Linked DNA regions of Macaca fascicularis. The protein of the gene in region 3 interacts with the protein of the main gene of each other region in a biochemical or structural test. Links are inferred from orthologs where the notes say so. Each region holds a gene or a part of one and is shown on either strand. Other genes may lie near its edges. The genes, in order: CD2BP2, CD58 and CD2.

Region 1 (10,595 bases), on a different chromosome or scaffold from region 3:
CCTTGGGGCCTGGAGTGCTCTGCTGTGGGCTGAGCCTTTAGCTGAAGCTTGCTCAGCAGGACTGGACAGGTGGATGGAAGGTCCTGGTAGTAAAGCTCTGGGATGAATCTGGAACTGGGCTTGGGAACAGAGCTCTTGGCCCCTGTGACTGCCCTCATGGTCTTCCCCAACCCCCACAGGCAACAGGACCTGTACCGAATCCTGAAGGCCTACACCATCTACCGGCCTGACGAGGGTTACTGCCAGGCCCAGGCCCCCGTGGCCGCGGTCCTGCTCATGCACATGCCTGCGGAGGTCAGCTCCCTGGTTCTGGGCCGGGAGGGGCAGGGGGGATCTCAGCCTGCAGTGGTGATGGGGGAGCTCCCTGCTCCCTGCTTCTCAGGCCCCACCCCTCCTCCTTGTTCTTGCTCTTCTCAGCAAGCCTTTTGGTGCCTGGTGCAGATCTGCGACAAGTACCTGCCAGGTTACTACAGTGCAGGGCTGGTGAGTGTCTGAAGGCTGGGTGCATCCAGAGCTGTGGCATTTCCTCCAGGCTGCAGGGAGGTCCTTGCCTTGCCCCACCCTGGCCTTCTCAGCCTCTGCCCACAGGGCCTGCCAGTTCTCCCCTGATGGGGGCACAGCTGACTTAGCCCTCTTCTCATGACTTGTCCCACCTGTAGGAGGCCATTCAGCTGGACGGGGAGATCTTTTTTGCGCTCCTGCGCCGGGCCTCTCCACTGGCACATCGCCACCTGCGGCGGCAGCGCATCGACCCTGTGCTCTACATGACGGAGTGGTTCATGTGCATCTTCGCCCGTACCCTGCCCTGGGCATCGGTGCTGCGTGTCTGGGACATGTTTTTCTGTGAAGGTACTTCTGTGGCCCTCCAGGCCATGAGGGGCTATGGTGGCTACCAGGGGTTCTGTGGTCCCTGGACAAAAGGTACTTGTGGGTGGAAGTTTCACCATAAGCAGCTGGGGGCTGGAGAAACAGGCCTGATTTTGGTTCTGCCCCCAACCTAGATCCTGCTCTCCCTGCCAAGATCCTGAGACTGATAGCAGCTCATTTCCTTTCATGGGGCCTCAGTTTCCTCATCTGAGATTGGCAGTAGATGGGGATGAGGGCTGTGAGTCCGTCCTAATCAGGACAGGCTGAGATCCTGGGTCTGACCACCCTGTGCTCTCTACTCTTCACCCCTGCAGGCGTTAAGATCATCTTCCGGGTGGCCCTGGTCCTGCTGCGCCACACGCTGGGCTCGGTGGAGAAGCTGCGCTCCTGCCAAGGCATGTATGAGACCATGGAGCAGCTGCGTAACCTGCCCCAGCAGTGCATGCAGGAGGACTTCCTGGTGCACGAGGTAGGCCTGCACCCTCAGCACAGCCCCTGCCTGCATCAGCCCGCTCCCACCCTCAGCTCCATTCTGGTATGCACTTCCTCTCTGTCCAGGTGACCAATCTGCCAGTGACAGAAGCACTCATTGAGAGGGAGAATGCAGCCCAGCTCAAGAAGTGGCGGGAAACACGGGGGGAGCTGCAGTATCGGCCCTCACGGCGACTGCATGGCTCCCGGGCCATCCATGAGGAGCGCCGGCGGCAACAGCCACCCCTGGGCCCCTCCTCCAGCCTCCTCAGCCTCCCTGGTCTCAAGAGCCGAGGCTCCAGGGCTGCTGGAGGGGCCCCCTCCCCACCGCCTCCCGTCCGCAGGGCCAGTGCTGGGCCTGCCCCAGGGCCTGTGGTCACTGCTGAGGGACTGCATCCATCCCTTCCCTCACCCACTGGCAACAGCATCCCATTGGGTTCCAGCAAGGAGACCAGGAAGCAGGAGAAGGAGCGGCAGAAACAGGAGAAGGAGCGGGAGAAGGAGCGGCAGAAGCAGGAGAAGGAGCGGGAGAAGGAGAGGGAGAAGGAGCGGCAGAAGCAGGAGAAGGAGCGGGAGAAGCAGGAGAAGGAGCGGGAGAAGCAGGAGAAGGAGCGGGAGAAGCAGGAGAAGGAGCGGCAGAAGCAGGAGAAGAAGGCTCAAGGCCGGAAGCTTTCGCTGCGTCGAAAGGCAGATGGGCCCCCAGGCCCCCACGATGGTGGGGACAAGCCCTCAGCAGCCGAGGCCCGGCAGGACGCTTACTTCTGACCTCTGCCCTGGGGCTGGACTGCATGGCCCCCTTCTTTCCCTCAGCCAAGAGCAGGCCTGGCCCGAGGTGCCACCCCCTAGCCCCTCGGCAGGCTGTCCCTCACTGGGGAAAGTGGCTTGGTTCCCCATCTCCTCGCCAGCCGCTGATCCCTACACGGGCAGGACAGATGGGCAGCTGCAAACGAGTCTGGAGCCTCTCATCTCCCATGAGGCTCAGCTGGGGTCTTTGTCGCTCCTGCCCCAGTTCCCTCTGGGTCCCCTACTAGGTGCTGTCCTGATTGGCCCGTTGTCATCCCAGGGGTGACTCCTGGTGATGGGAGTCAGCAGTTTCAAATTCTTACACTCCATGGCTCCCCTTACCATGAGGTGGAGCTGGCTTCCTTTTCCCTGTCTTCAGCCCTCCCTGTCTCCAATTCCTGGCCTGGGCTCTCCTTCTGGACCTTTCTGTGTTGTAATTATGTACAGAGGATGGGGTTGGCCTGGGGTGGGGATGCTCGCTTTTGTCTTCTGTCCTTTGGTTCTCCTTCCATAATGCTCCTGTACCCAGTTTATTTAAGGGGACATGCACTGGAATAGGAAATGTCCCCCATATCCCTTCCCGCACCCTGCTGTGCACCCTCCAAACCCACCTTGCTCTGTGTTCTCAGGCCCCCCTGCTTTGTCTCACCAGGACCCCTACCTTTCACCTTGTTCCCTTCCACCCCTCCAGTTAGTCCCTATCTGGGTAAGGGTCTTCCCTTGAGCTCCAGGGGGTGGAACCCAATGTTTACATTCTCTTCTGTCTCTGCCCCCACCCCATGCAGCGCTTTGAGGAATCAGAAAAGAACCTGCTGTTGTACCCGAGTCTGTCTCCTGCCTTGTTACTTGATGGGGGTTGGGGTGGGGTAAGGATGAGGGAGGGAGGGAGAGACAGAGCCAGGACCTGGGTCTCTGTTAAAACAGTCTGCTGTCTTGGCAAGTAGGTATCTCTTGGCTTTGGGTCCATCTCTCAAGTCACTCATCAGACACTGGTTGAGCTCCTACTCCAGCTTTGCCTGGGATGTGCTGTCTCCATTGTCACTGGCTGCCTGGAGCTCTCTAGGTACCACCTGCAGCACCCAGATCTGCTTCCCAAAGTGCTCATGCAACTCCTGGAAGCTGGAACGGGTACTCATGGTGGCTAGAAAGCCAGTGTCCTCTGGGCATGAGATGGGTTCTTGGCCAGCTGCCTGGCACAGCTCCCGGTATTAGGTCTTGAGTGGGGGCAGCAGCCCAGCCAGCCACCTCCAGCTCACACCAGCCAGTGCCCACAGCCAAGTCTCCAGGTTTTCCTGGGTTTCTGCAGCCAGCTTGTAGGCCCGCCCACCCCAGGAGTCAGGATGGTAAAGGCATAGGGTTCTTAAGGTGTAGCTCCACCTGGCAGTTCTCCAACGGGATGAGGCCCAGGGGTGCATGATCGGTCTGGTGTTCTAGGTAGAAGAGGTTTCCTTGGAGGATGAACCATCGGTGCTGGTAGCTGAGGTTTCGGGTCCCCTTCTTTAGCAACATGCCTTCCTGGTCTGGGGCCTGTGTTCTGTAACCATGGAAGAAACTGAGCATGGACTTTCTGTGCAGTTCCATCGTGATCCAATATGGGAGGAAATCCCTAGGGAGAGAGAAGTGGCCCATCTAGTTGCCTTGGGGAAGAGTAGGGGAACTCTCACACTGTCCTCGTCTGGCTCCAGCAGGTGCCGCCTGGGCAGTCTTTGCTTAGGGGGATGCAGGCTCCGAGTGTCCTCAAGAGCTAGAGGTTCCAGTACAGGGGCTGACCCCCCGCCACCTCCCCCAGTCCCGCTTCTGCTTGGGCCACATTCTGTTACCTGGGCACGAGTTGCTAGGCCCTGTTTGCTCAGAGGAGCTTCATGCTACAGAGAGGCACTGTTGCCCTTTTCCAGGCCGTGGTGCTAGGCCCTGTTTGCTCAGAGGGGCTTCATGCTACAGAGAGGCACTGTTGCCCTTTTCCAGGCCTATCTGAGAGCAGGGCACAGGGACTTCTGGCCTGGGTACTGGTGCCAATGCCACCTCTCCAGTGATGGCTCTCCCACCTCAGAAGCCAGGAACTCGCCCAGGGTATGGGCGTGGGACAAATGACTTCCCCTGGGTCCTAAAGGGAGCTGTGTCCAGAAAGTGCCCCGAGAGCCGTCCAGGGGCCCCGGGCTGGCCATCGGGAGAGCCAGGCTTCCCCTCGGGGAGGGCAAGGCTCCACCTCTCAGATAGGAGAGCTTACCACCGGACCACAGGAGTGGGAAGGCAGGATTTCTAACGAGACGGTAGGGGCGCTGAGCCCTCAGCCCTGGTGGAAGGGTGACTCGAACCCAGCACAGGAAAACGGGGCAGCGACCCACTGGCCCTGCTCGGACTTTGCCCCTCCATCCTGACCCTGGGCGACCCTTTAAGTAGATGCTCTCGTTTTTCTCCAGAGCCTCTACTGCTTGAATGAGGGAATCGAAGGTACTTCCGGCCATTTCTCACGCCCGGTCAGAGTGTAGGCATTCACAGGTCCCCTCTTCTCGCCATTGTCCTCCCACGCGACTGACGTCACTTCTTGCGGGAGAGAGGGTGGAGGCGTCTTCCCTCGCTCACCGCGTACTTCCGCCCGCTCTTCCAGTTAGTTCCCTAACCCGAGTGAAGCCACTTCCGGGCTTCCCAGGCGCCTTCCACAGTCCTCTTCCGGGTGATGGCGGCCGGGTGCCCCGGATGTAGCCTTGGCGCAAGCATCTCTTCTTTTCGCCACCTCGCCTCCCGCGGAGTCCCAGGTGAGCGCGCGAGGGTGGGACAGCCCGGATCCCCGTGGCCCTCTAATTTGTACACAGCCCGGGACAGTTGGGGCTCACCACACGGAATTGGGAGTTCGGAGCAGGGAGGAACGGGGTGGCGAGAGCGCCAGGTCCTGGGTCTGCCCGGGCCCCGCGAGCTCCGAGAGAGCCAGAGTAGGAGGCGGGGGTCAGCCGGTCGAGCCGGTGGCGCCCAGACTGCGGGGGCTGGAGTTGGGAGCGGTCACGTGGTGAAGTCTGTTCCCTGTTGGCCAGGGTCAGGGGATCCAGAGGGTCCGCTCCTCCGTCCCCACCCCATTTAACTCGCGGATGCTAGACCCAAGTCCTGCAGGCCTCCTGGCTGCCAGCTTCTCTTCAGCCCTTGCTTTTGTGCTCCCTCCGCTCCCAAACTGTACCTGTCACAGACCAGGAAAAATATTTGCTGTGCTGGGTCCTCTGGTGGCGAGTCCCCTCCTCACCCCATTCTCTTTCTCTGTATCCTTTCCTCAGCTTGAGAAACACCTCTCTGCCCCGTCATGCCAAAGAGGAAAGTGACCTTCCAAGGCGTGGGAGATGAGGAAGATGAGGATGAAATCAGTGTCCCCAAGAAGAAGGTGAGGGGGCCAGACTCCTTTGTGTGGGGGAAAGAGAGGAGCTAGAAGCCTGAGGAGAAAGAAAGCTGGCGGGAGTGGGGCGGGGCGGGCAGGCAGAGAAAAGCCTAGTTTTTTCAGGTTCTCTGAAGAATGGGTTGGGAGCATCTTCAGTGTGGGTCCTAAAATATTTGGGGAAGTAGTCGAGATCCTGAAATATTTGGGGAATATTTGGGTCCAGATCCGGAAGTATTTGGGGAGGTAGCCAGTAACCTGCATTTCTTGACTTGACTCCTGCTCACAGCTGGTGGACCCTGTGGCTGGGTCAGGGGGTCCTGGGAGCCGCTTCAAAGGCAAACACTCTTTGGATAGCGATGAGGAGGATGATGATGATGGGGGGTCCAGCAAATACGACATCCTGGCCTCAGAGGATGTAGAAGGTGAGCTGTACCCAAGAATACACTCTGCTGGAGAAACAAGTAGGGGCCTCTGGTGGTGTGGAGTGAGGGAGGCTCCAGTCTCTCTTTTCCATGCCTAGAAAAGGGCACCTGTGTCTTTGGTACAGGTCAGGAGGCAGCCACACTCCCCAGCGAGGGGGGTGTTCGGATCACACCCTTTAACCTGCAGGAGGAGATGGAGGAAGGACACTTTGATGCTGATGGCAACTACTTCCTGAACCGGGATGCTCAGATCCGAGACAGCTGGCTGGACAACATTGACTGGGTGAGGCCCAGGGGCTGGTGTGGCTGGGGCCGGGGAGTGGCGGATGCTAGGCCTGCTCCCATGGCAGTTCGTGGGAAATCACTGCATCTTTCCATGACAGGTGAAGATCCGGGAGCGGCCACCTGGCCAGCACCAGGCCTCAGACTCGGAGGAGGAAGACAGCTTGGGCCAGACCCCAATGAGTGCCCAAGCCCTCTTGGAGGGACTTTTGGAGCTTCTGTTGCCTAGAGAGACAGTGGCTGGGGCACTGAGGCGTCTAGGGGCCCGAGGAGGAGGCAAAGGGAGCAGCAAGGGGCCTGGGCGTCCCAGTTCCCCTCAGCGCCTGGACCGGCTCTCCGGGTTGGCCGACCAGATGGTGGCCCGGGGCAACCTTGGCGTGTACCAGGAAACAAGGGAACGGTTGGCTATGCGGCTGAAGGGTTTGGGGTGTCAGACCGTGGGACCCCACAATCCCACACCCCCACCCTCCCTGGACATGTTCGCTGAGGAAGTGGCAGAGGAGGAACTGGAGACCCCAACCCCTACCCAGAGAGGAGGTAAGCTTGGAGGACAGAGGAGGGGGCAGTGGGCGGGAAGTGAGACACCGGAGGTCAAATGGCTTTGCCTGTTATTTTAGAAGCAGAGTCGCCAGGAGATGGTCTGGTGGATGTGATGTGGGAATATAAGTGGGAGAACACGGGGGATGCCGAGCTGTATGGGCCCTTCACCAGCGCCCAGATGCAGGTGAGCTGCTTTCTCCCTCCTTCTGGCTTGTCCCTGCTTCCCCTACTCCTGTCAGTCCTTCCCCAGCTCTGCCCTCTCCTTGCAGACCTGGGTGAGTGAAGGCTACTTCCCGGACGGTGTTTATTGCCGGAAGCTGGACCCCCCTGGTGGTCAGTTCTACAACTCCAAACGCATTGACTTTGAGCTCTACACCTGAGCCTGCTGGGGGCCCAGTTTGGTGGGTCATTCTTTCCTGGACTTTGTGGAGAAGGCACCAAGTGTCTCAGGCAGTGAGGAAATTGGAGGCCATTTTTCAGTCAATTTCCCTTTCCCAATAAAAGCCTTTAGTTGTGTATTGGGGCCTTGGCTGTGCTGACGGCCAGAAGCCAGGGGCCTTCTCCACAGCCACTTTGGACTTGCCTTGGTCCCTGAGTGTTTGCTCCCATGAAGATCTTCTTTGGAGGTGCCTGTCAGGTGTCCTGTGGCCTCACTGCCTGGACTCTGCTTGCTGTGTAAACACCCCCAACTGCGCTACTTTGTGTTCCTCTCTGAGGTTTCTTGTTTGATTCCCCTTAGGTCTTTGGCTTTCAGGATGTCAGATTCTTTGTCCTTGTAGCCACCAGGGGATGGAGCCCCAGAAGTGGAGCTTTTAGGCCTGGAAGGACCGGGGCATGGAGAAGACATTGGGTCTCTGTTGGGGGTGGGCATGGAAACGTTTTACTCTTGCTCCACCCTCTCAAGCTCCATAGACACTGGGCAGAAGTGGGATGAGTGGTCCAAGACCGAGATCCCTAAGGTTCTGAGAGCCAGTATCTTCCCTAGCCTGGCTTTCTTCTCTCCTTGCAGTCGTTCCCATAGCCCTTCAGTGAAATGCAAACTCAGTGGCCAAGCGTGGGCCAAGCGTGCGTTGTACTGGCACAGAGGGGCAGTGACTCACTGGAGGTCACAGGAATCAAAGGGCTGGCCCAGAACCAGTGGGCTCCTTTCCCAGACCTTTCTTGGCACAAAGCCTTTGCTGCCTGGCCTTTGAGGCCCTGCGGCCTACATTCTCTCGGCCCCACTAGGTGCCTGGCACAGGGCTAGTGCCTTCAGGAAACTGAGGTAGCTGGGCTGGTCCCCTTCCAGGAATTCAGAGTTTGGTGGCAGAGGCATGGGTGTAATTCTATAGCCTGGGCCTGGCACCCTCCACCCCCTACCCCCTACCAGCATTGCCTTATGCCTCCCTTGCACCACGTTAGATGGTTTCTTCCGGTTTTCCATTCTGGCTGCCCTTTGGAATCTCCTGGGGAGCTGTAATATCTATTTGGATATTCGGATTGAGCTGGTCTAGGTTGTGGCCCAGGCATTGGGTATTTCGGAAGCCTCTAGGTGTTTTCAGTTTGCAGCCAAGCCGAGAGAGAGCCCCTGGGTCCGACCCCCATGGTTGAGGCACCGCTAGCAGGAGGGCTGGCTCCTGGACCCCACTGTGGTTGTAGAGCTGAGCGTGTGTGTGGCTTTAGTGCCGTCCATTAGTTACGGGGATCTGGGCACCAGAGCTGCAGGACACTTGGAATCCCAGGGCAGAAAGGGCCAGACGAGCAACTAGGAAAGACTTGGGGGCCAGGGTGGAGTGGGGTTACCGGACGCTCTTGTGAGGCCTGCTCTAGTGCCTGCTCACACTGGAATTTCATTCACTCCAAGAAGCCATCAGGGGTAAGATACCTTCCTTTAAACATCACTAAGAAAGAAGAGGCCTGCCAGTGACACAGTAAGATGCCATTGATCTAAAGATGCGTCTTGATTTCAGAAAGGTCCGGAAGTGGAAAGCAGGTGTCAGGGCTGAGGTACAGGGTTCACCTGTAGGCCCCAGGGATGGTCTCTCAGGGGTGCTGAGTGAGTGCATGGTAAATCAATGGAGCCCAGGGGCGCCTCCTGCCGGTGTCCTCCAGGCACTCAAACCTAGCCCTTCCGAAGCCGACCTCACGTGACCTCACAGCCCCTCCTTAGGGCGCCTCACTGACGACGGTGGTGGGTGGAATAACAGCCACCAAAGAGGTCCAGGTTCTGAACCCCAGAACCTGGGAAAGTGTTACCTTGTATAGCAAAAGGGACCCGGCGCCTCTGCTTCAGTTCAGGATTTCATGGTGGGGAGATGACCCTGGGTGGTTGAGGTGGGCCCCGAGTAATCATGGGGGCCCTTATAAGGGAAAGGGAGTCAGGAGGGTCTGCGCGTGAAGCAAGGAAGCTTCTGGCTCTGAAGATGGCAAGAAGGCCCAGAGCCAGGCGATGAGGTGGCCCCTGGAGGAGCTGAAAAAGGCATTGGATTCTGCCCCAGAGCCTCCGTGGAGAAACAAAGCCGCACTGACACAGCTTCAGCCCGGTGGAAATCATTTTGGACTCCTGACCTCTAGAACTGTAAGATAATAAATTGGTGTGGTTTTCAGCCTCTCAGTTTGTGGTAATTTGTTAACAGCCCCAATAGGAAACAACTACTCATGCATCCAGCGGATGCCTCATGAACCACCCAATCTCGCTAAGTTCTCCCTTCCTGTGACCACATTGCTATTTCAGGTCCCTGTCAGGACTTATAAATGTGGCTGTCTCTTGCTAGGGTGGCCTTTATAGTACATCTGAATCAGCGCTCCTTGGCTTTTTATTTGTTTTGTTTTTAGAGACAGGGCCTTACCTAGGCTGGAGTACAGTGGTGTGATCATAGCTCACTGCAACCTTGAACTCCTGGGTTCAAGTGATCCTCCCACCTCAGCCTCCTATGTAGCTGGGTCTACAGGAGTACACCACTTCACCTGGCTAATTAAGAAACTTTTTTTTTTTTGTAGTGGCAGGGTCTTGCTTTGTTGCCCAAGCTAGTCTCAAACTCCTGCACTCAACAGATCCTCCCAGCTCAGCCTCCCAAAGTGCTGGGGTTACAGGTGTGGGCCACTGTGACCAGCATGCTTTTCTTTTTTAGTTGTATATATGCAGTTTATATGTATACAGTTTGTAAGATATATATACAGAGAGATTTTGTTTGAGTAAGCTTTTTTTTTTTTTTTTTTTTTTGAGATGGAGTTTTGCTGTTGTTGCTAGGCTGGAGTGCAAATGGCACGATCTCAGCTCACTGCAACCTCCGCCTCCTGGGTTCAAGGGATTGTCATGCCTCAGTCTCCCGAATAGCTGGGACTACAGGCACCTGTCACCACGCTTCAGTACCCTTCAGTGGTTTTTTGTATATTCACAGGGTTGTGCAACCATCACCACAGTTTAATTTTAAAACTTTTTTTTCCTGCCATGAAAGAAACCTGACCCATGAGTAGCCCCTCCCACTACTCCCCACCCTTCCTCACCCCCCAGCGCTGGCAACCACCCATCTACTTCCTGCCTCTAGATTTGCCTCTTCTGGGCATTGAAGATAAATGGAATCATACATGTGGTCTTCTGGGTCTGGCTTCTACTTGGGCCTATGCTTTCAAGTTCAATTATGTTGCAGATATCTTCATCTATCTCGCTTTTTTTTGTTTTGTTTTGTTTTGAGACTGAGTCTTGCTCTGTCACCCAGGCTGGAGTGCAGTGGCGCGATCTTGGCTCACTGCAACCTCTGCTTCCCAGGTTCGAGTGATTCTGCCTCAACCTCCCAAGTAGTTGGGATTACAGGCCTGTGCTACCATGCCCAGCTGGTTTTTGTATTTTTAGTAGAGACCAGGTCTCACCATGTTGGCCAAGCTGGTCT
Region 2 (10,437 bases), about 180 kb from region 3:
ATGCCTTCTGATCCAAGTGATGCAAGAGGTGGGCTCTCACAACCCTGGGCAACTCTGCACCTGTGGCTTCGCAGGTTACAGCTATCCGCTTCTCCATGAGGGGCCCACTCCTGCAGCAAACTTCTGCCTGGACATCCAGGCATTTCCATACATCCTCTGAAATCTAGGCAGAGGTTCTCAAACCTCAATTCTTGACTTCTGTGCATCCACAGGCCCAACCCCACGTGTAAGCCACCAAGGCTTGAGGCTTGCACCCTCTGAAGCAACAGCCTGAGTGGTATGTTGGCTCCTTTTAGCCATGGCTGGAGCTAAAACAGTTGGAATGCAGGGCACCATGTTTGGAGGCTGCATAGAGCAGGGGGACCCTGGGTCCAGCCCATGAAACTATTTTTCCCTCCCAGGCCTCCAGGCCTATGATAGGAGGGGCTGCCATGAAGGTTTCTGTTATGCTCTGGAGACATTTTCCCCATTGTCTTGGTGATTAACATTTGGCTCCTCATTACTTATGCAAATTTCTGTAGCCAGCTTGAATTTCTACTCAGAAAATGGGTTTTTCTTTTCTATTGCATCATCAGGCTGCAAATTTTCTGAACTTTTATGCCTTGCTTCCCTTTTAAACATAAGTTCCAATTCCTAACCACATCTTTGTGAACACATAAAACTGAATGCTTTTAACAGCAACCAAGTCACCTCTTGAATGCTTTGCTACTTAGAAATTTCTTCCACTAGATGCCCTAAATCATTTCTCTCAAGTTCAAAGTTCCACATATCTTTAGGGCACAGGCAAAATGCTGCCAGTCTCTTTGCTAAAACATAGTAAGAGTCACCTTTATTCCAGTTCCCAACAAGTTCCTCATCTCCATCTAGAATGAGCAGCATTTGGTTAAAGCCATTCAACAAGTCTCTAGGAAGTTCCAAACTTTCCTACATCTTCCTGTCTTCTTCCGAGTCCCCCAAACTCTTCCAATCCCTGCCTGTTACCCAGTTCCAAAGTTGCTTCCACATTTTCAGGTATCTTTGCAGCAGTGCCCCACTACCCAGTACCAATTGACTGTATTAGTCCACTCTCATGCTGCTAATAAAGACATACCCAAGACTAGGTAATTTATAAAGGAAAGAGGTTCAATGAACTCACAGTTCCACATGGCCATGGAGGCCCCACAATCATGGCAGAAGGCAAAGGAGAAGCAAGGCACATCTTACATGGCAGTAGGCAAGAGACAGCTTGTGCATGGGAACCCCCATTTATAAAACCATCAAATATTGTGAGTCTTATTCACTATCTGAGAACAGTATGGGGGAAACTACCCTCATGATTCAATTATCTCCACCTCGCCCTGACCTTGACACATGGGGATTATTACAATTCAAGGTGAGATTTGGGTGGTAACATAGAGCCAAACCATATCATGGGGTTTCAACATGTTGCTCAGGACGGTCTCGAACTCCTGGGCTCAAGAGATCTGCCTGCCTCAGCCTCTCAGTACTAGGATTACAGGCATGCGCCACCATGCTCAGCCCAGTTCATACTTCCAAACTCTTGCTACTTGCCCAGCACTACCCAGGCCCTATCCACATGTCATTCCACTAATGCAAGCCCACACCAAATCCTGCCAGTTCCACCTTCAAAACACATCCAGATATCTCTTACCCCCAGTGATTCCTTTCCTGCATTGCCCCTGCAGCCTAACCAACCTCCCTGCTCTTCCTTTTCTCTCCTCTACATACTATTCATCCAGCAGCCAGAATAATTCTTTTAAACACCCAAGTCATCATAACTTCACCCCTGTTCAAAATCCTTCAAAACTTTCCAGTCACTGAAAGCAAAAAGGTCAAAATCTTTAAAAGGCCCTAAAAACTTTATCTACAGGATCCATCCCTGACTACTTTTACAACTTCATTTTCTACCACTCTATGCCACAATGGTATCCTTGAAGTTTCTTAAACACTTGAAGCCTATCTCAGGATCCTGAGTAGTATACCTGGAATATCACTCCCCCAGAAAGCCTTGTGGCCTATCTCTCACTTCCTTAAGTGTATGATCAACTGTCACCCTATTAAAGAGACCCTCCCTAACTAAACTATGTAATACTAACCAGCAGAGGGTAGCTGAATTAAATACCATATAGCCACCCTATGGGGGACTGTACAGCTGTGAAAAAGAATGAGGATGATCTCTATCAAGTGATGGGGAATGATTTTCCAGATGTATGGTGAAGTGAAAAAATGAGATACAAAAAAATACATAGAGTGTTACCTTGTTTAAGAAGGGTAGTTAGAAAAAAAAAAAAGAATCCAAATAACATTTTTTTTTTTTTTTTGAGATGGAGTCTCACTCTGTCACCCAGGCTGGAGTGCAGTGTGGTGATCTCGGCTCACTGCAGTCTCTGCCTCCCGGTTCAGGCCATTCTCCTGCCTCAGCCTCCTACGTAGCTGGAATTACAGGTGCACGCCACCACGCCCAGCTAATTTTTTTATTTTTAGTAGAGACAGGGTTTCACTGCATTAGCCAGTATGGTCTCAATCTCCTGACCTCATGATCCACCCACCTCAACCTCCCAAAGTGCTGGGATTACAGTCATGAGTCATTGCACCTGGCCAGAATTCAAGTAACTTTTGAATATGGTATTGCATACATCTTCACTGGGATATACAGATTTTCCTTATTATGGAGTTATATATTGAAAAACTCACTGTAGAGCTGAAAAATCTTAAGTCAAACCATTGCTAAGCTGGAGATAATCTGTAATGAAAAATAAAAGGAACTGTAAAGAAATCTTTAACTGTATTTAGTAAGTTTGTAGTTGGTGGTAGATTGGTATAACAACTGTAAAATGATTTGGGGTTTAACGTAGATTAGGAAAATATACTGATGCTACTAAGAACAGAGTTCTCACTGTGGGAGTAAGGAGATGCAAACACGGAAAAGCAGAAGAGGGAGAAGAACTGAGCAGTAAGATTATTAGTGTTAAAGGTATCAGGGTGAACTCCTGACTTTGTAAAAACTCCATTTCTTAACTTTGAAAACTGACAAGGCTGAGAAGCAATGACACCAGTACCTGTGGGCACACCTAGCACCCAGAACTTGATTTCTAAATACCATCTCTCACTAAAAGAAACCCAGGGAACCTAATGATTTGAAGGCTGAGGCAGGAACACTACAAAATGAGTCCAGAATATCTTTCTGTGCCAGAAAGTAAGGGTTTAAAATCAAACAGGAACACAGCAAAAGGACTCTGAAGCTTGAAGGGGTTCCTGCTTGTCAAATGTGGGGTCGCTGAGCATCAAAATGGATGACAGGAATGTCATATTTAAAAAAGAATCCATGAGTCCATACAACCTTCTAAAATAAAAGAAAAAAAAGAGAGGATGTGTGTGCAAAAGCTATTCATTATGAATAATGTAAACCAATAAATATACATAGAAAAACAGAATAGAAAATTGCTGGGTGGCTCATGCCTATAATACCGACACTTTGGGAAACTGGCTCAGGAGGATTGCTTGAGCCCAGGAGTTCGAGACCAGCCTGGGCAACATGGTGAAACCCCGTCTCTATAAAAAATACAAAAAAATTAGCTGGACGTGAAGATATGTCCCTGTAGTTCCAGCTACTTGGAAACTGAGGTGGGAGGATCGCTTGAATCTGGGAGATCAAGGCTGCAGTGAGCCATTTGTGTCACTGTACTCTAGCCTGGGCAACAGAGTGAGACCGTGTCTCAAAAGAATAGAGAAAAGAAAAGCAAACAAAGAAGGAAAGAAGGGAAGGGAAGGGAGGAAGGAGGGAAGGGAAGGGAAGGGAGGAAGGATGGAAGGGAGGGAGAGAGGGAGGAAGAAAGGGAGGGAGGAAAGAAAATTACCATTTGAAAATATTTTAGTGGCTGGATGTGGTGGCTCCTGCCTGTAATCTCAGCACTTTGGTAGGCCAAGGAGGGAGGATCACTTGAGCCCAGGAGTTTAAGACCAGTCTGGGCAACATAGGGAAACCCTGTTTCTACAAAAAATAAGAAAAAATTAGCCAAGCATGGTGGCATGTACCTGTAGTCCTGGCTACTCAGAAGTCTGAGGTGGGAGAATTGTTTGAGCCTCAGAGGCTGAGGCTGGAGTTAGCTGTCATAGTACCCCTGCACTCCAGCCTGGGTGACACAATGAGACCCTGTCTCAAAAAATTAAATAAAATATTTTAGTGATAATGGATTCTGAGAAGAATCACCATAGGATACTAAAACCACTGAATAAACAGTGGCTGGAGAACAGGATATTCACTCAACCTCAAAACATCACTTAACACATCACTTATTACTTACAAAGATAAAATGGTGCCTCTACAATGGAGAAATCTGGTAAACTTCACTTCAACCAAATAGTCAAAGTTAACATCTCTAATAATGTGACCAACAGACCACATCTGCTTCCCGATGTGACACACTGAGAAAAACCCAACATAACTATGTAGTATTCCTGCTAACAAAGAGTTACAACCAGAATCTGATCATGAGGAAACAAGCAGGAAATCCACATCCAAGGGACATTCGGTAAAGCAACCAGCTCAGACACTTCAAAAATGATGATGTCATAAAGTACCAAAAAAAAAAAAAAAAAAGCAACACTTTTAGGTTAAAGGGGGTCCAAAAGGCATGATTACCAAATGAAGTATGTGGTGCAAGACTGGCTTCTGGGTTCTCTACCAGGAAACAGTATTGTATCAATGCCACATTTCCAGACCATGATGATTCTGTGACTTGTTGGAGAATGCTATTGTTCTTACCAGACAAATGCTGAAGAATTACAGGTGAGGTGTCATGAGGTCTGAAACTCTCAAATGGTTTGACAAAAATAATAGATGTGTGTGTACAAAAAAAACTAATGTGACAGTTAACTGGTGATTCAAGGAGAAAGTATGCAACTATTCACTGTACTAATTTTGCAACTGTCCTAAGATTTTAATTGTTCCAAAATTTAAAAAAAAACTAAATTGAAATATTAACGACTTCCATCTCCCCTTTCTTTGCTTTACTCATCTCTATACTAGTAAATGTTTACTTTTATCACCATTCAGCATCCATGTTTTTACTCATTTACTTACTGTCTCTCTCCCTCACTATAAGGTGAGCTTCAAAAAGGCAGGGAACTGTGCGTACCTTACTGTATCCCCCGTCTATTATGCAGTGCTTAACATACAATTGATACTCAGTAAATATTTATTGAATGACTGATGTTCCCAGTAATTCTATGAAGTGGGTTTATTATTATCCTTTCCCTCATGTGAGTGGCGCTCTCTTCAAAAGCGAAGGTACTGAAGTGAACAGAAGTTAGGGAACTCACACAAGTTCATGACTCAGGTGAGGAGTGGGGCCAGGATCCAAAGCTAGGCATCTGACCCTACAGCTGATGCTGTTAATCACTGTATTTGCAGCTTCCCTAGTGAGACTCGGCTTCCTAGTTGCTTCCCCGCTCCTCGCTGTGGGGCGACTGAAAAGTCCTCTCTGCTGATACGCCGGACGCGGCGTGGGCGGGGACTGCACCGCGCGCTGAGGGCACCGGGCGTCGCCCTCAAGAAGGTGGCATCCGCGACCGCACCCCGTCCCGGGCGCGTTCACGGCTGGGAAGAAGTTTTGCAGTCCGCGGAAGCGCTCAGCGACGTTACTGGGGAGGCCCGGGAAGGAACTTGGTCACTGGAGCTCGGGAGGGGGAGGGCGGGAGTGGGGGCGCGCGGGCCCCGCAAGAGAGGCGAGCGGGCCGGAGCCCGTCCTTCCCTGAGGCCACAGTTCCTTGCTGACTCCATGAGGGACACTGGCGATGAAATAACAACTTTCTTTTCCTGAAAAGGCTCCCACGGCTGAGTTGTTCCCGGCCCACAACGACCCGTCCCCACCCGGTCCCTGATCGGCACCCGCCTCGAGCCCGGCGCGTCCACCCAGCCTGGGCGCTGCCCAGTACCCGCCGGCCGGCGCGGGGCCCCTGGAGCAGGCTTCACTCACCGAAGCAGCGCAACAGGCAGAACACGCCGAGGACCCCCAGGGCTCGCCCCGCGTCGCTCCCAGCAACCATGGCTGGCCGGCCCGCCTCTGCGCGAATACCCAGCCACTAGCAGCCCTAAGTTCAAGCACCGCCTACGCGGGCGGCCAGAAGTAGGGCTCCGCCCCGCCCGGGGCTGGCAGCCCGTGGCCCGCCCCGGCCCTTCCTTCCCCACCCTCCCCGGCCTTTCCTCCCCCACCTTCCCCGGCCCTTCCTCCCCCACCCTCCGCGGCGGCGCATTTGTCTTCCCGCTTCCAGTCCCCAGGCGCGCTCCTGGGCTCGGCTCTGCGCATCTCCTTCCTGTGTCCCCGGGGCGCCGTCCAGTCCCCCAGCTCGGTCCCTCCCGGCATTCCACCGCCATTCCATACGCTATTTTTAAGTAAGAAATTATTTCCTTGAAAGTGGCTTGCGTTTTAAAAACCAGGTTTCTCTGCCTTCCTCCCGCACCTCCCGCGCTTCCCCTTAGCGTTTGGGGCGTGCTGAAGGCCGCTCGGTGGCTGGACGGGGCTGTCGCTCCCGGAGAGCCACCGGAGGAGGCAAGGGAACGGGCAGGAGCACCCGGGGCCCCTCATCGCTTCAGCGCTGTGGGATCCCGCCTCAGACGGCCTCTTTGAACCACTTTGTGAACCACTTTTCCTCAAACATGACAAGGAAAGGGGGCATTTTAGACAACTGTTAGTAGGCGTAGGGTTACCTAGGGCAGGCCTCCTCCGTCCCCACACTCCGGTATCCCCGGAGCTGGGATTTCCAGCCTTTGGTTTCTCCCTTCTCAGATTCCTCTCTCTCTTCCCCCATCTCAACCGTGGACTTTCCCTCAGGCTGATGTCAGATCCACATCTCCCTCACTGCCCAGCCTCCCCACATCCATCCAGCCCAAGCTGCGGCAGGCACTCATCACTCTCCCTCCTTCATCAGTCTGGATTGAGCTGGCCCTCCCCTCACATCCCTATATCCCAGAACAAATGACTCTATTCCCAGAACCAACTCCTCACATCAGCCTCCCTATCTGTCCCCTTTCTTGCAGACAGAAGCACCAGAGTTGCCCCTGCCCGGCCGAAGGAGTTCACAGAACTCTTAGTTATGATGTGAGCAGGAATTCATTTCCATGAACAGGACTCCCTGCTGCCCAAATAACCACCAACACATGGTGCAGGCTGTGACACTGAGTGGGAATGTGCTTTCTTGCTGCTTCCCCTCCATTATCCCCAGGTGGGGACTCAAAGTCACTGGAGACACTTGAACCATATTGCAAAGAGACATGAATTATTTCTTAAGTTAGCCATAAAGTCTTAAAAGGTTATCTCTATCAGTGAAACTTCTGGGACCAAAGCCCTCTACCACAAACCTGCTATCTCAAGATACTCCCTACCATCTGTAGATACTGGGAACACAAGGCAGGTGCAGTGTGTAACATAAAATGTAAGGACATCAAGTGTTCTCTGCCCTGGGCTGGTAGGAACTCAGGCCAACTTAGAAAGGCAGGATTGGGGTCAGACCTTCAGACACTGGGGAGCCACAGAAAGTTTTTGAGCTGGGAAGTGATATGACAGCAAACATCTATTGAGCAGGCCCCATGTGAAGTGCATTACTTGGATTCACTTAATCTTACTGCTGTTGTTTTTGCAAATGAGGAAACTGATGCCTGGAGAAGGTAAGTTACTAAGGGCACACAGTAAAGGGCAGAACTTGGAGTCCAGCTGAGGCCATGTCCAGGGCCTCTACTCTTACCCCTTCCTACAGGAGCGGGATATGATAATGGGACTTTTGGACTGCCAGCAAGAGCTGTTAACCCCCTTAAGAGCAGGGCTGAGGAAAGAACAGCCCAGTCACAAGGGGTTGCGGAAGCCCCTTGCCCCCAGGTCATGGTCTCCAGGTATTGGGTGAGGAATAACTCATTAGGCTTCCTTGGTTGGACTCTCCTTTGACCAAGGAGCGGTGCGTGCTCTTTCATTGAGAGAAATGCTGTCCATCAAGCACTTTTAGAAGCACTCAAATGCCTGGTTAATTTTATGAATCAAAAGCAGCTCAGGAATGCTGGACCTGCAATGTGTTAGGCAGGCAGCCAAAAAGGTTCCCTTTACATACTGAGAACCTGCTATCAAAAGGAGGGGTGGATGTATCTTTCACGCTGTGACCAGTATTGCAAGGTCCAGTTTTATCTTCTTGTCACTGTAGGTAATCATGGATGAGAAAGTAAGAAAGGAGGGCTGCTTAAGAGGCCGGGGCTGTTCTTCCTAGCATGTCACTCTCTGGTGTCTTGACTCTCGTTTTTGCCAAACCCTTGGAACCACTCCCACAAAGCTTAGGAATCCCAGAATGTAGTGAGCAAAACACTGCCCCAATCCTGCATAAATGCAAATTGTCATTTTCATTGCATGCCTCATGGGGGAATGTATGTTCACTTCATTTATATCAATACTGAGTGGATTTGCACAAAGGGCATAGAACGGTAATCTTATTCCATAATACTCTATTTCCCTTTTTAAAACATTCCCTGGCAGAAAAAGAACATTTGAAAAAAATTAGGAAAAATTATACATAAGACTTAACATGGAACCATTATGGGTACCCAAGGGAGAGGCAGTCACATTTTCAACTCCTGGCCAAGCCAGCAGCTGCAAGGAGTTGATGAGGATGCAGCCGATGGTTCTGGGGAGCAGAGGATAGCACACACGAAAGCTTTGAAAGTCTTGGACTTAGGAGAAGAAAAAAAGAAGTGTCTCCCTCTGCTTCTTACTATCTAGTTCCTTTTTGCATGTTCTGTGAATTTTAAAGAGTTACAGCTGGGTTCTGGCTAATCACGTATCACTGCGATGGCTTTAATCATTCTAACATTCTTCTCAATTTGCAGATGTAAACCCCTCCCAACACTGGAAGAGGAAACAGAGACCAGTGCGCTGTGCAGTGTCATTCAACTAGAAGGCACAGCTCCTGCTCTTATCATTCTGGGAAATCCTTGCTGCATTTCATGGCCAGGGCAGCACTTCATAGCTGGAAAAGGATGGTGTGGACTTGCTGCAGAGGCCCTAGAGATGGCCATCCTGTGTTCCTGCTCTCCTTCTCATCCGGTTTCTATACTCTAACCCCCAACAAAAATGCGACAGGTTGTAAGATCTACATTCTGAACCTGCCTTTCAGGGGCTAAGTGTGTTGTGTGTTGCACAGCTCTAGCGGTAGCACAGCCTTGATCATCAGGGTGGAGGTGTCTATTGACTATGGTATGTCGCAGCAGATGGCAGTGAAGTGTCTTGAGGAAGAGGTGTTTTTATCATTTAAAGGTTACGGGGTGTAATAATAAAGACTGCAATTCACAGACCTTGAGCCCAGCAGGCCAATGCCAAGGGCAGAACTGTAGGCCTCCCACAGCACAGTCCCACAGAGGAAGGGGGCTGGTTAGTAAGGGGGAAAGAATGATAGAAGACCACAGTAAATGTAAACAGCCATATTTTCAACATAATTTACTACAGGTCTCTGAAGTGTATATAAAATGTTTTAGTGCAACATCTTACAAATAGTTTTCCTTTAAAAAACAGAAACAAATCAACAGCTCTCTACATCATGCATGGGTAGTTTTCTTACCCCATCGTTTTTTTTTCTTCAATAATTAACGCAGAGAAACCATTGTTTGAAAATATGAAAACTTGCTACAGAAACACCCGGTGAAAGAGGGTGTTGTCATATTCATGTCCTAGAATGCGCCTAGCACAGTGTAGTTTTTCATAAATGCAACATTGTAGACATAGATGAATCGAGAGTATTCAGCAGTTTTCCTCCGTCTCAGAAGACTAAAGCTCCAGTAGACAATGCGCAATGAGGTCTCACAGCCACTGGAGGGCACCATTACCATCCATCTGACATCGCATTTCCACAGAAATGGCCAAAGAAAGAAGGTCCTGGGGTTTTTCATAGAAAGCTCGAAAAGTTCAACCTTTGATGCTATCCCCCAGCCCAATACAAAATACACAGAAAAAGCAATTATTAAAATACTGGCTTCGGTTTCTTTTCCTTTCAAATTCCTGCAATTGCTTTACACATTTAATTGCGTGCAGCACCTACTTTGCTATCGAACAGATTCAAACTGAAATCTTAGTTATACATCCTAGTCCCAGCCAGCCCTCTGGCATCCTCCCATTTAGACAGAGGAAACGCCAGTCATCTTCCCTCATTGACTCAGCCTGTAAAGTAGGAGTCAGCAAATTCCCACTGAAAGCCCACATCCCTGAAATAAAGAAATGGGGCAAAAGACCTTCTTTCTTCATGACTGAGCCGCTCCTGTACCTCAAATGTGTTGATGCAGCATAATAAATGAGAATCAGCATGTCAGGCAACAGCAGGATTAAGGTGGTGGTGCCTGCACACTGTCTCACAGGAGGGTACTGGTGTATTTGGGGGAGAAAAGGCAGGTCTGTGTGTGTCTGTCAG
Region 3 (10,441 bases):
TAACACGGTGAAACCCCGTCTCTACTAAAAAATACAAAAAACTAGCCGGGCGAGGTGGCAGGCGCCTGTAGTCCCAGCTACTCGGGAGGCTGAGGCAGGAGAATGGCGTAAACCCGGGAGGCGGAGCTTGCAGTGAGCCGAGATCGCGCCACTGCACTCCAGCCTGGGTGACAGAGCCAGACTCCGTCTCAAAAAAAAAAAAAAAAAAAAAAAAGAAAGAAAGAATCAAGGGTGAGCTGGTGGTGCTAGACAGCAACTTTTATTGAAGCAGCAGCAGAGGTACTGCTCCTTGCAGAGCAGGTATACACTACAGTCACAGCAGGTATACACTACACTACACTACTGCCTAGAGTATCAGCTTAAAGGTAGTTTTGCAGTCCCATTTGTACCCATTGTAATTATATGCAAATTAAAGGGCAGATTATGCAGAAATTTCTAGGAAAAGGGTGGTAACTTCTGGGTCTCCAGGTCATTGTCTTGGAAAAAGGTGGTAAAGGTTGGGTATTGCCATGGCAACAGTAAACCAAAATGGCACACTGGTGGGCATGTCCTATGGAAAGCTGCTTCCACCCATCTCTGTTTTAGCTAGTCCTCAAGTTGGTTCAGTGTCCAAGCCCCACCTCCAGAGTCAAGTTCCACCTCCTACTTCAGTGCCACCCTAAAACATGCCTTTTTAGCATATGGGTTATTTTGAGCAAAAGGCCATCATGAACCAGCAGAGGCAGTAAAAGCTTTAAAAACACGGCACAAGATTTTTCTTTTGTAAAGAAAATTTACAATTTCTGAAGAAAATATCCATTTGTAAAAGGTATCTCCCTCTCCTGTATCCAGAAGAGGAGGACTCTTAACAACTCTTATCAATGGAGAAGGCATTGGCTTCAATCTGCCAACAAACCTTACTAAATAACTCATAGTTTACCACACTTTTCCTGGTTATTCAATAACCTGCCTCTCCCACCTAGAAGCCCCAAATCCCTTTTTGTTTGTTTAGCCTAAGATACTCTACAAGTCCAAGTTCTAACATCCCTTTGGGTTACTCACCACTGGGTGCTCCCATGTTTATGAGGGATACACATCTTAATCAACTTCAATGTTTCCCTTGTTAACCTGCCTTTTCCCAGTCTAGTTTACAGGGTTCCAGCCAGAGAATCTAAGATGAGCAGAGGAAAAAGATTACTTTTCTCCTCTCCTACAATTGGGATCTGTTTTTGTCATATTCCACAGCTTGTCTATGTCATGATTTACTTAACCAATTTCCTTCTCTTAGACATTTAAATTGTTTCCAATTTTGGCTTTAAAATACTGCAGTGTATAAATTTATAGCCAAGTCTAGTACATAGCCTTCATTATTTCCTTATGATAAAATCATCCTTGTGGACTTGTTAGAAATCCACATATTTTTGATACTTCTAATTCACACTGACAAATTGCCCACCAGAAACTATACCTATTTGCAATTCTCCTATATACGAGAACGCTATATACAAGAACGCCCACTTTCACCATCATCAACACTATGTTTTCATTTTTCAAATGAAGATGAAAAATGCATCCATGTTAAAACTGACATTCCTTTATTCATAAATAGAAACAAAATTCTTCTTTTGTGGATTGCTCCTTTTATGACTTTGACCTATTTTAATATTAAGGTGTCTATCTTTTCTATGTTTACAAGAAAAATTTAATATTAAAAATTTAATGTTTACCAGGCACGGTGGCCCACACCTGTCATCCCAACACTTTGGGAGGCCAAGGTGGGAGGATCACTTGAGCCCAGGAGTTCAAGATCAGCCTGGGCAACATAGTGAGACCCCAGTCTCTACAAAAAATAAAAAAAAAATAGCCAGGCATGGTGCCACATGTCTGTATTCCCAGCTACTCAGGAGGCTGAGGCAGGAAGATCACTTGAGCTCAGGAGGTCAAGGCTGCAGTATATTGTGATCATGCCACTGCACTCCTTCCTGAAACAGAGCAAAACCCTGTCTCTAAAGTTAATTAAAAAAAATTGTTATGCCTTTGTCATGTATCTTGCAAGTAATTTGCTCCTTTTAGTGCATTCTTTTAATTTTTTTATGGAAAAATACAAAGTTTTCACATTTTACAGAGTCAGATCTACCAATCTCTTTCTTTTTCATGGTTTCTGCCCTTGAAGCCATGCTCATCACTCAGAGTAGAATTAGTTTTAGAGGAGCAAAATCAATGTTTCAAATAGAAAAGCAGAAAGCTGCTCTTCACATGCTCCATGAGGAAAGTGAGAGGAAGAGAGGGCAAGCGCACTCAAAAGCTGAGACGGGGGAGAGGATGGCCAGCGCCACCTTCTCTCCACCAGGCCTTGACAGACTGGAGTTGGACAGCGGCTGGTGGGTCAGCCACTCACAAGCAGGGAAGCTCTGTGCTGCTCCTCTGGGTTGGCAGATACTTTTGAAAAAATATGTGTGCCCTAAGCATCCTTTCTTAAAAAGACATTTTTTATTACAAAAAAAGTGTTTACTTCCAAAATTTTAAACTTCACAGAAATTAATAAAATGTGAAAGAAAAATAAAATGCCAGGACCCCAATTCATTATGCCAAAAGGAAAAAATAAACTGAAAGTTGAGTCACGCAAGAAACTGCCTTCCCTTGAGTTCCTAAGCAGACAACTACAGACAAAAAGCTGCTGTCTCCAGGGGTAGCTACTCTATGTTCACCTTATCTTATGAAAGTGCCAATTTACTGAGCATGAGAAGAATACACAATTGACCATTCCCCTACCTGCTTCTTTTCTCTTGCAACATATGGATTCAGTAATGTGACCGTGTCCTCCCTCCTTCCCCTCTGACCGGCTTTTCCCCTTTAAATACTGAAGCCTTCAAAACCATGTTGAGAAAAAGGCACAAACCACAGATTGTTCCTGTGGTTCTGTGTTCCTTTTTGTCCTTAATGTTGATGAAATAAACTTCTAAATTGATTGAGACCTATCTCAAGTATTTTTTTGGTTTACAAAGGTAAGAAGTGAAGATTTCATTTCGGTTCTCTCGCAGTCTAATACCTGAAAGACAAGCACTGTAAAAAAATTCACCATCAGCCCTTTCAGGCTTTTTTCTCACACATACCTTAAGAACAACAGAGTATGATACAGTATACTGGTATACCCGTAGCATAGTATAAACACAGTATCATATATAAAAAGGACTAATCCTATAGATATTGTTTTGCAATTTACTCTTTTCATGTGATTTTCCAAAAGCATCTTTCCATGTCTTACTTTTAGGCCTATGTTATACTATTTTGATGCTTATGCAATATTTCATAATATGAATATACTATAATTTTACTGGTTTGCAATTTTTTATTACAAAAATGATACAACAAACGTCCTTGAACAGCATTTTAAAACATCCGTGCTTTCATATGTGTGGGATAGATGTCTGAAGTTAAAATCACTCGGTGAAAAAAAGACAAATTTTAAAGTTTGGTGGAAATGAAATTCCTTTCCCCAGAAGGTGTTGATTTATATTCCCTCTGATGTTGTATGAAGGTTCATTTCTCCACACATTCATGTTAATAATGTAAATTATCATTTTTCCTAATTTTGCCAATCTGATGGTGAAAAATGGTATTTTATAGCTAAGATATATGCATATAATTCTGGTGACATTGGACTCCTCTTGCGGGTTTGATATTTCTTCTGTGAACTACTTCTTCTGTAAGCTGATCATTTATATCCTTTGCCCATTTTAAAAACTATTTTGTATTGATTGATAAGAATTATTTCTATGTTTTGAATATTAATAATTTTATACATATCGCAAGTATTTTGTCATGCCTTTTCATTTTGTTCCTTATTTCTTCATCTGCACATAAATCTTACTTCTTTACATCATCAATTGTGTTCATCCTTTCCTTCTTACTTTGGATTATGTGTTATATGTAGATAGGCCTTCCATACTCAAGCTATAAGAATATCTTTCTGTATTGTCCTTTTAGCATTTTAATTAATTAATTATTTTATTTTATTTTATTTTTTTTGAGACAGAGTCTCACTCTGCCGCCCAGGCTGGAGTGCAGTGACACCATCCTGGCTCATTGCAACCTCTGCTTCCCAGGTTCAAGCACTTCGCCTGCCTCAGCCTCCTGAGTAGCTGGAATTACAGGCACACGTCACCATGCCTGGCTAATTTTTGTAGTTTTAGTAGAGATGGGGTTTCACCACGTTGGCCAGGTTGGTCTTGAACTCCTGACCTAAGGTGAGGAGGTCCGCCTCGGCCTCCCAGAGTGCTGGGATTATAGCTGTGAGCCGCCACGCCCGGCCTCCTTTTAGCATTATTGTAGTATTTTTGCATTTAAAATTTTAATTCAACTGTTGTGCATTATTGTGGAAGATGCTCATACAACCATGAGGTAAATATTTGGGCTTCCTTTTACCCAGTAATAGCAAACAACTGCTTTGACTTAATTTCATTTCCTTGGCAACTTTCTGACAGATAATATCCATATTTGTACTTAGAGTTGAAAAAGAAAACAAGCACCTCTTTTACAGTTTTTACTCACTGTGACCTAAAGAATTGTAACGCTGAAAATGTGCTTTGGAAGTCTGTCATGGTTATTCCTCTTTTTAGGCATCTTTTCAGGGCACATGCATCTCTGCATCATTGTCTCTTTCCTTGTGTCACAAATTTCTGTTCTCTTTTTCTCTCCCTCATTTCTTTTTCTCCTAATCTCTCCTTTTTCTTAACCACCTATAATGTTAATCACTTTAAATGCTTTTGACTCCTTTGTTTTGGTGGTTTAATTGTATTTCATAGTCTCCATGCTTCTTTGTTTTGGAACAAGTTTCTATTTACCTAACTGTGAATTTCACTAGGGTTGTAAAATGTACCCCGAACATAGGATTTGGGGATTGCAAGCATTTACAGCTGATACTTAATTTCTTTCTTTTCATCACAAAAACGATTTTAGAACATGAAAAATATCTTTGGAGAAACAAAAAAATCAATTTCCTAATCATTTTATGGGCATACTTTTCAATATTTATAATCATATAGGATAAATATTTGCATTCTGCTAATGGCTTGGCTTGTGAACATTTACCTATATTTCTCTGTGGTCTTGTTAGGGACAGTATACCTAAGTGGATAAAAGGCTGGGAGGTTGAATTTGGCTTCTTGTTTACAAAAGACTGATCCTTATTCATCTACTTAGCCTCTATGTTCCTTTTCTCTTTCACTGAGATGAGAAAATCCATCCATCCCAATTTTTTGTGAGGATTAAAATGCGGTAAGAAAACACACACTCATAAACACATCTGCTTTGGTAAAGGAGCACATCAGAAGGGCTGGCTTGTGCGCGCTCTCGCTCTCTGTGTATGTGTGCTGTGTTTTATGTTACTGTAAAAGATGTAAAGAGAGGCACGTGGTTAAGTTCTCGGGGTGTGGACTCCACCAGTCTCACTTCAGTTCCTTTTGCATGAAGAGCTCAGAATCAAAAGAGGAAACTAACTCCTAAGATGAGCCTTCCATGTAAAATTGTAACCAGCTTCCTTCTAATTTTCAACGTTTCTTCCAAAGGTAAGTTGGTGGATGGGTCTCCACTGTCACGGTTAGAAGCTTCTTCTTCGGAGACCCTGAAGTAAGCATAAGAGCCAAAGAAGTCCCAACCCAACTTTCCCTGGAGGTGACTCTCAGTAACTCTTTTGCTTTTTCTAGGTGCAGTCTCCAAAGAGATTAGGAATGCTTTTGAAACCTGGGGAGCGCTGGGTCAGGACATCGACTTGGACATTCCTAGTTTTCAAATGAGTGATGATATTGATGATATAAAATGGGAAAAAACTTCAGACAAGAAAAAGATTGCACAATTCAGAAAAGAGAAGGAGACTTTCGAGGAAAAAGATGCATATAAGCTATTTAAAAACGGAACTCTGAAAATTAAGCATCTGAAGATCCATGATCAGGATAGCTACAAGGTATCAATATACGATACAAAAGGAAAAAATGTGTTGGAAAAAACATTTGATTTGAAGATTCAAGGTAAGTGTTCATTCCCTTAATTGCTTTATTTCAGTGTGGGTGCTATTTGGCAAGTTGGAAAATAGCATTTATAATATTCCCCAACGCTGACCTCTGCCTCCAGGGGGGCTGTACAGGAAATCAGATGCATGTCTCCTGCGCCAGTGGAGACTGTGGTCCAATGATGGAATGGGATCCACACATCTGATAGACACATCTGAAGTCTACCTGCCTACAACTCTCTCTTCAGGTGGTTACAGGAATGTGAGGCTGGGTGAAGAACCTGGATTAAGGTGGCATTAATCAGGAGAGGGACACAGGTGGGCAGAGAGAAAAGGCAACTGTTCCAGGTTGCTGATGAATGGGCAAGTTAAGAGTGGGGCGGGAAAAGGCTGACTGGAGAGCAGCGGGCCTTTCATCGACAGAGCCCATTTCAAGCCAGGCTGCCCTGAAGGAGGAGTTATATGGCAGAAAAGGCCTGGAAACAACATATTTAAAGATGAACAGCCCTTGTTTTGGATCTGCTTGTCAGAGCGATTCAAGGTGATAGGTGATTTTTGCTAATATGTGTAGAAGATGCACAAGGTGTGGCTTTATTTATCTCTACCTGTACTGGGAGGGCAGGAGTGGATATTGAGGATGGGGTTAGGGAGACTAGTCAGAAAGCTGCTGCTGTGATCCAAGGGAAGTGAGGACCAATTAAATCAGATGTTTTTGCATGCAGCCTGGGTATCATTAGGTTATAAAGCTCCCTGGGGGATTATAATGAGCAGCCAAAGTCAGTCACCACTGGCCGAGACCAAAGGGTGCCTGTAAAATGGGAAGAATGAGGATAATAAAGGTCAGGCATAGAGAAAGGTGGCTTGGGCAAGGGAGAGAAGGAAGAGAAAGTGGAATCGAAATGCCATTGAAGTTGAAAGCCCAGGGGATGCTGGGGAGGGAGTCATAAGAAGGAAAAAGAAGAAGCTGCGCTTGACTTGGGGAGGCAGACAGGAACCCCAGCATGAGCACAGGCCAGCCATTCAGTGAGCAAATAAGCATTTCTGTGCTTCACACAGAAAATGTCGCCAGAAGCAGGGTCCCCTCCTTCTTCCTCTCTGTCTCCAGCCCCGTCTTCAGCACCTGGGCCTACCAGCAATCCCAGATAGTGTCAGATTGCCCAGTCCAGCAATCCCAGACACTGTCAGCTCCCCTGCAGTGACAACTTTCCACACCCTAGTCCTGCAACCCTGAGTGGGAGCACCTTGTAGAAATGTAGCGGGGTTGAGCATGGCGCTCAAAAGGGCCCCTGATTATGGGCTCTGGAAACCACAGATCTCAGGACTCCAAACAGCACAAAATTTGAGTGTCCTGTTTTGAGTGTGAGCCCTACGCGGGAGACCATGCTGGTGTTTTCACATTTGGGTCGCATTTAGCATTGCGGTGGAAATAGTGGCTACCAGCTAGGGGTCAGGTGCTTGCTTACATGATCTTACTTAAAGCTCCCAACAATACTGAGACATAGCTGTTATTATCTCCTTGTTATATGTAAGAAAACAGAGACCTAGTCAGAAGCAGCTTGTCCAAGGTCTCATTGCTTGACAGGAGCAAAGTCAGGATTCAAACTCAGAGGTCTTTTTGGCAAGGATGATGACCTTTTCTCTTTTTTTCCAAGCAGCTTCATTGAGATAACTCACCTAGCATTCAATTTGTCCATATACTAAAATGGCCTTTAGTATATTCAGAGTTTTGTAACCATCACCACAATCAACATTTTCATTGCCCCCAAAAGAAACCCTTCACCCTTTAGCCTAAAGACAGCGACTTGCTTTGTGTGTGTGCACGCCAATGTCATACAACATCTTGATTCAACTTGTAGTTGGGCACTATTACCAGACTTGAGGTCACCATGGCCTTGGGCAAATTCCCTATCTGCTCTGAGTCTGATTTTTGAATGACAACTTCAAGGGATATTCAATGAGACAATGTGTGTACAAGTGCCCTGCAGTGCCTAGGGCACAATACCTGTTTGCTCAGTGCTAATGCCCTCCCACATCTCTTTGTTTCTCCAAGCTTCTCTTTGTTGTTTTTTGTGTGTGTGTGTAAGATGGAGTCTTGCTCTGTTGCCCAGGCTGGAGTGCACCAGCATGATCTCTGCTCACTGCAGCCTCTGCCTCCCAGGTTCAAGTGATTCTCCTGCCTCATCCTCCCAAGTCGCTGGGATTACAGGCGTGTACTACCACGTCCAGCTAATTTTTGTATTTTTTTTTTTGCGGGGGGGGGGGGCGGGGACGGAGTCTGGCTCAGTCGCCCAGGCTGGAGTGCAGTGGCGCGATCTTGGCTCACTCAAAGCTCCGCCTCCCGGGTTCACACCATTCTCCTGCCTCAGCCTCCCAAGTAGCTGGGACTACAGGCGCCACCACCACGCCCGGCTAGTTTTTTGCATTTTTAGTAGAGACGGGGTTTCACTGTGTTAGAGATGCCATGTTGGTCAGGCTGGTCTCAAACTCCTGACCTCAGAGGATCTGCTTGCATCAGCCTCCCAAAGTGCTGGCATTACAGGTGTGAACCACGGCACCCAGCCTCCAAACTTCTCAAACTCCAGTAGTTGTGCCTGCATTTCCTTCATGAGGGAGTTGCTGCTGCAGGCTGAAGAGGCAGTGGAGGGCTCCTTAGAAACATATGCTGGTAGGGAAGGGGTTAATCCCAGCAACTCAGAACTAAGGAGTTCTCAACCATGGAAGGCCTTAGGTTGGATCGGTTCTAAGATGCTATCTTAGTGAATGTATACGGAGGTACCACTCCACAACTCCCGTCACTGCGTTGTTCATGTTAGCGAAATGCTAGAACAGTCAGCAGTCAGAAATTTATTAATCAATTAAATTAAGAATGCATCCTTTAAAAAGATGGAGATATGCATTTATTGATGTTCATTTAAAAAAGAATGTCATAATATAATTTCACAATAAAGGGAAAAAGGCAGACTATAAGATCACATAAACTAGTTTTAATTTTAAAAATATTACATATATATATAGAGAGAGAGAGAAGGAGAGAGAGAGAGAGAGAGACAGGGTCTCACTCTGTCGTCCAGCCTGGAGTGCAGTGGCGCAATCTTGGTTCACTGCAGCCTCTGCCTCCTGGGTTCAAGCAATTCTCATGCCTCAGCCTCCTGAGTAGTTCGGATTACAGGCACGTACCAACACACCTGGCTAATCTTCGTATTTTTAGTAGAGATGGATTTCACCATGTTGGCTAGGGTACTCTTGAACTCCTGGCCTCAAGTGATCCGCCCACCTCAGCCTCCCAAAGTGCTGGATTACAGGCATGAGCCACCTCACCCAGCTGAAGTATTACATTATTTATATATGTACACATAAATAGAAAATATCTGATAAAGATATACATGAAAATATTATTCATTATTGACCTTGAGTGGTGGCATTGTGGGTAATTTTTAATCTGCTTTAAACTTTTAAAAATATTTTATCAACTTGTACAATAACTGAAGTTGAAAGCCCACGAATGCTGGGCAGGGAGTGATAAGAAGGGAAAAGAGGAAGCTGCACTTGGCTTGGGGAGGCAGACAGGAACCCCAGCATGAGCACAGGCCAGCCATTCAGTGAGCAAATAAGCATTTCTGTGCTTCACACAGAAAATGTCGCCAGAAGCAGGGTCCCCTCCTTCTTCCTCTCTGTCTCCAGCCCCGTCTTCAGCACCTGGGCCTACCAGCAATCCCAGACAGTGTCAGATTGCCCAGTCCAGCAATCCCAGACACTGTCAGCTCCCCTGCAGTGACAACTTTCCACACCCTAGTCCTGCAACCCTGAGTGGGAGCACCTTGTAGAAATGTAGCGGGGTTGAGCATGGCGCTCAAAAGGGCCCCTGATTATGGGCTCTGGAAACCACAGATCTCAGGACTCCAAACAGCACAAAATTTGAGCGTCCTGTTTTGAGTGTGAGCCCTACGCGGGAGACCATGCTGGCGTTTTCACATTTGGGTCGCATTTAGCATTGCGGTGGAAATAGTGGCTACCAGCGAGGAGTCAGGTGCTTGCTTACATGATCTTACTTAAAGCTCCCAACAATACTGAGACATAGCTGTTATTATCTCCTTGTTATATGTAAGAAAACAGAGACCTAGTCAGAAGCAGCTTGTCCAAGGTCTCATTGCTTGACAGGAGCAAAGTCAGGATTCAAACTCAGAGGTCTTTTTGGCAAGGATGATGGCCTTTTCTTTTTTTTTCCATGCAGCTTCATTGAGATAATTCACCTAGCATTCAATTTGTCCATATACTAAAATGGCCTTTAGTACATTCAGTTTTGCAACCATCATCACAATCATGTTACTGTGTTACTGTTATAAGTAGAAAAAAAAAAAATCCATTCTGAAGAGACAGGCAAACTTCATGACCCAACCCCTAGACTATGTACTAACTGGTTGCTGAGTGTAGATACTTTCCATTTTCTTCCTTCTC

What was found.
Region 1: the proteins of CD2 (region 3) and CD2BP2 interact in a biophysical measurement, tested with the Homo sapiens proteins (6 studies listed by BioGRID and IntAct, with this or other methods). The link is inferred for Macaca fascicularis from reciprocal best matches to the Homo sapiens genes CD2 and CD2BP2.
Region 2: the proteins of CD2 (region 3) and CD58 form a complex in vitro, tested with the Homo sapiens proteins (3 studies listed by BioGRID and IntAct, with this or other methods). The link is inferred for Macaca fascicularis from reciprocal best matches to the Homo sapiens genes CD2 and CD58.

The regions. Positions count from the first base shown.
Region 1 is NC_088394.1:28,490,704-28,501,298, reverse strand, and holds CD2BP2 (CD2 antigen cytoplasmic tail-binding protein 2), read left to right. Parts: upstream 1-4,807; 5' UTR 4,808-4,877; intron 4,878-5,384; 5' UTR 5,385-5,410; coding exon 5,411-5,488; intron 5,489-5,768; coding exon 5,769-5,904; intron 5,905-6,029; coding exon 6,030-6,187; intron 6,188-6,287; coding exon 6,288-6,723; intron 6,724-6,803; coding exon 6,804-6,910; intron 6,911-6,976; coding exon of another isoform or gene 6,977-6,995; coding exon 6,996-7,106; 3' UTR 7,107-9,319; downstream 9,320-10,595. Other genes in the region: TBC1D10B (TBC1 domain family member 10B), read left to right, coding at 180-294, 418-483, 660-849, 1,182-1,336, 1,426-2,103. UniProt on the Homo sapiens protein: Involved in pre-mRNA splicing as component of the U5 snRNP complex that is involved in spliceosome assembly.
Region 2 is NC_088375.1:117,822,532-117,832,968, reverse strand, and holds the start of CD58 (lymphocyte function-associated antigen 3), read right to left. Parts: upstream 6,068-10,437; 5' UTR 6,049-6,067; coding exon 5,979-6,048; intron 1-5,978. UniProt on the Homo sapiens protein: Ligand of the T-lymphocyte CD2 glycoprotein.
Region 3 is NC_088375.1:117,641,510-117,651,950, reverse strand, and holds the start of CD2 (T-cell surface antigen CD2), read left to right. Parts: upstream 1-5,422; 5' UTR 5,423-5,485; coding exon 5,486-5,546; intron 5,547-5,684; coding exon 5,685-6,005; intron 6,006-10,441. UniProt on the Homo sapiens protein: CD2 interacts with lymphocyte function-associated antigen CD58 (LFA-3) and CD48/BCM1 to mediate adhesion between T-cells and other cell types. CD2 is implicated in the triggering of T-cells, the cytoplasmic domain is implicated in the signaling function.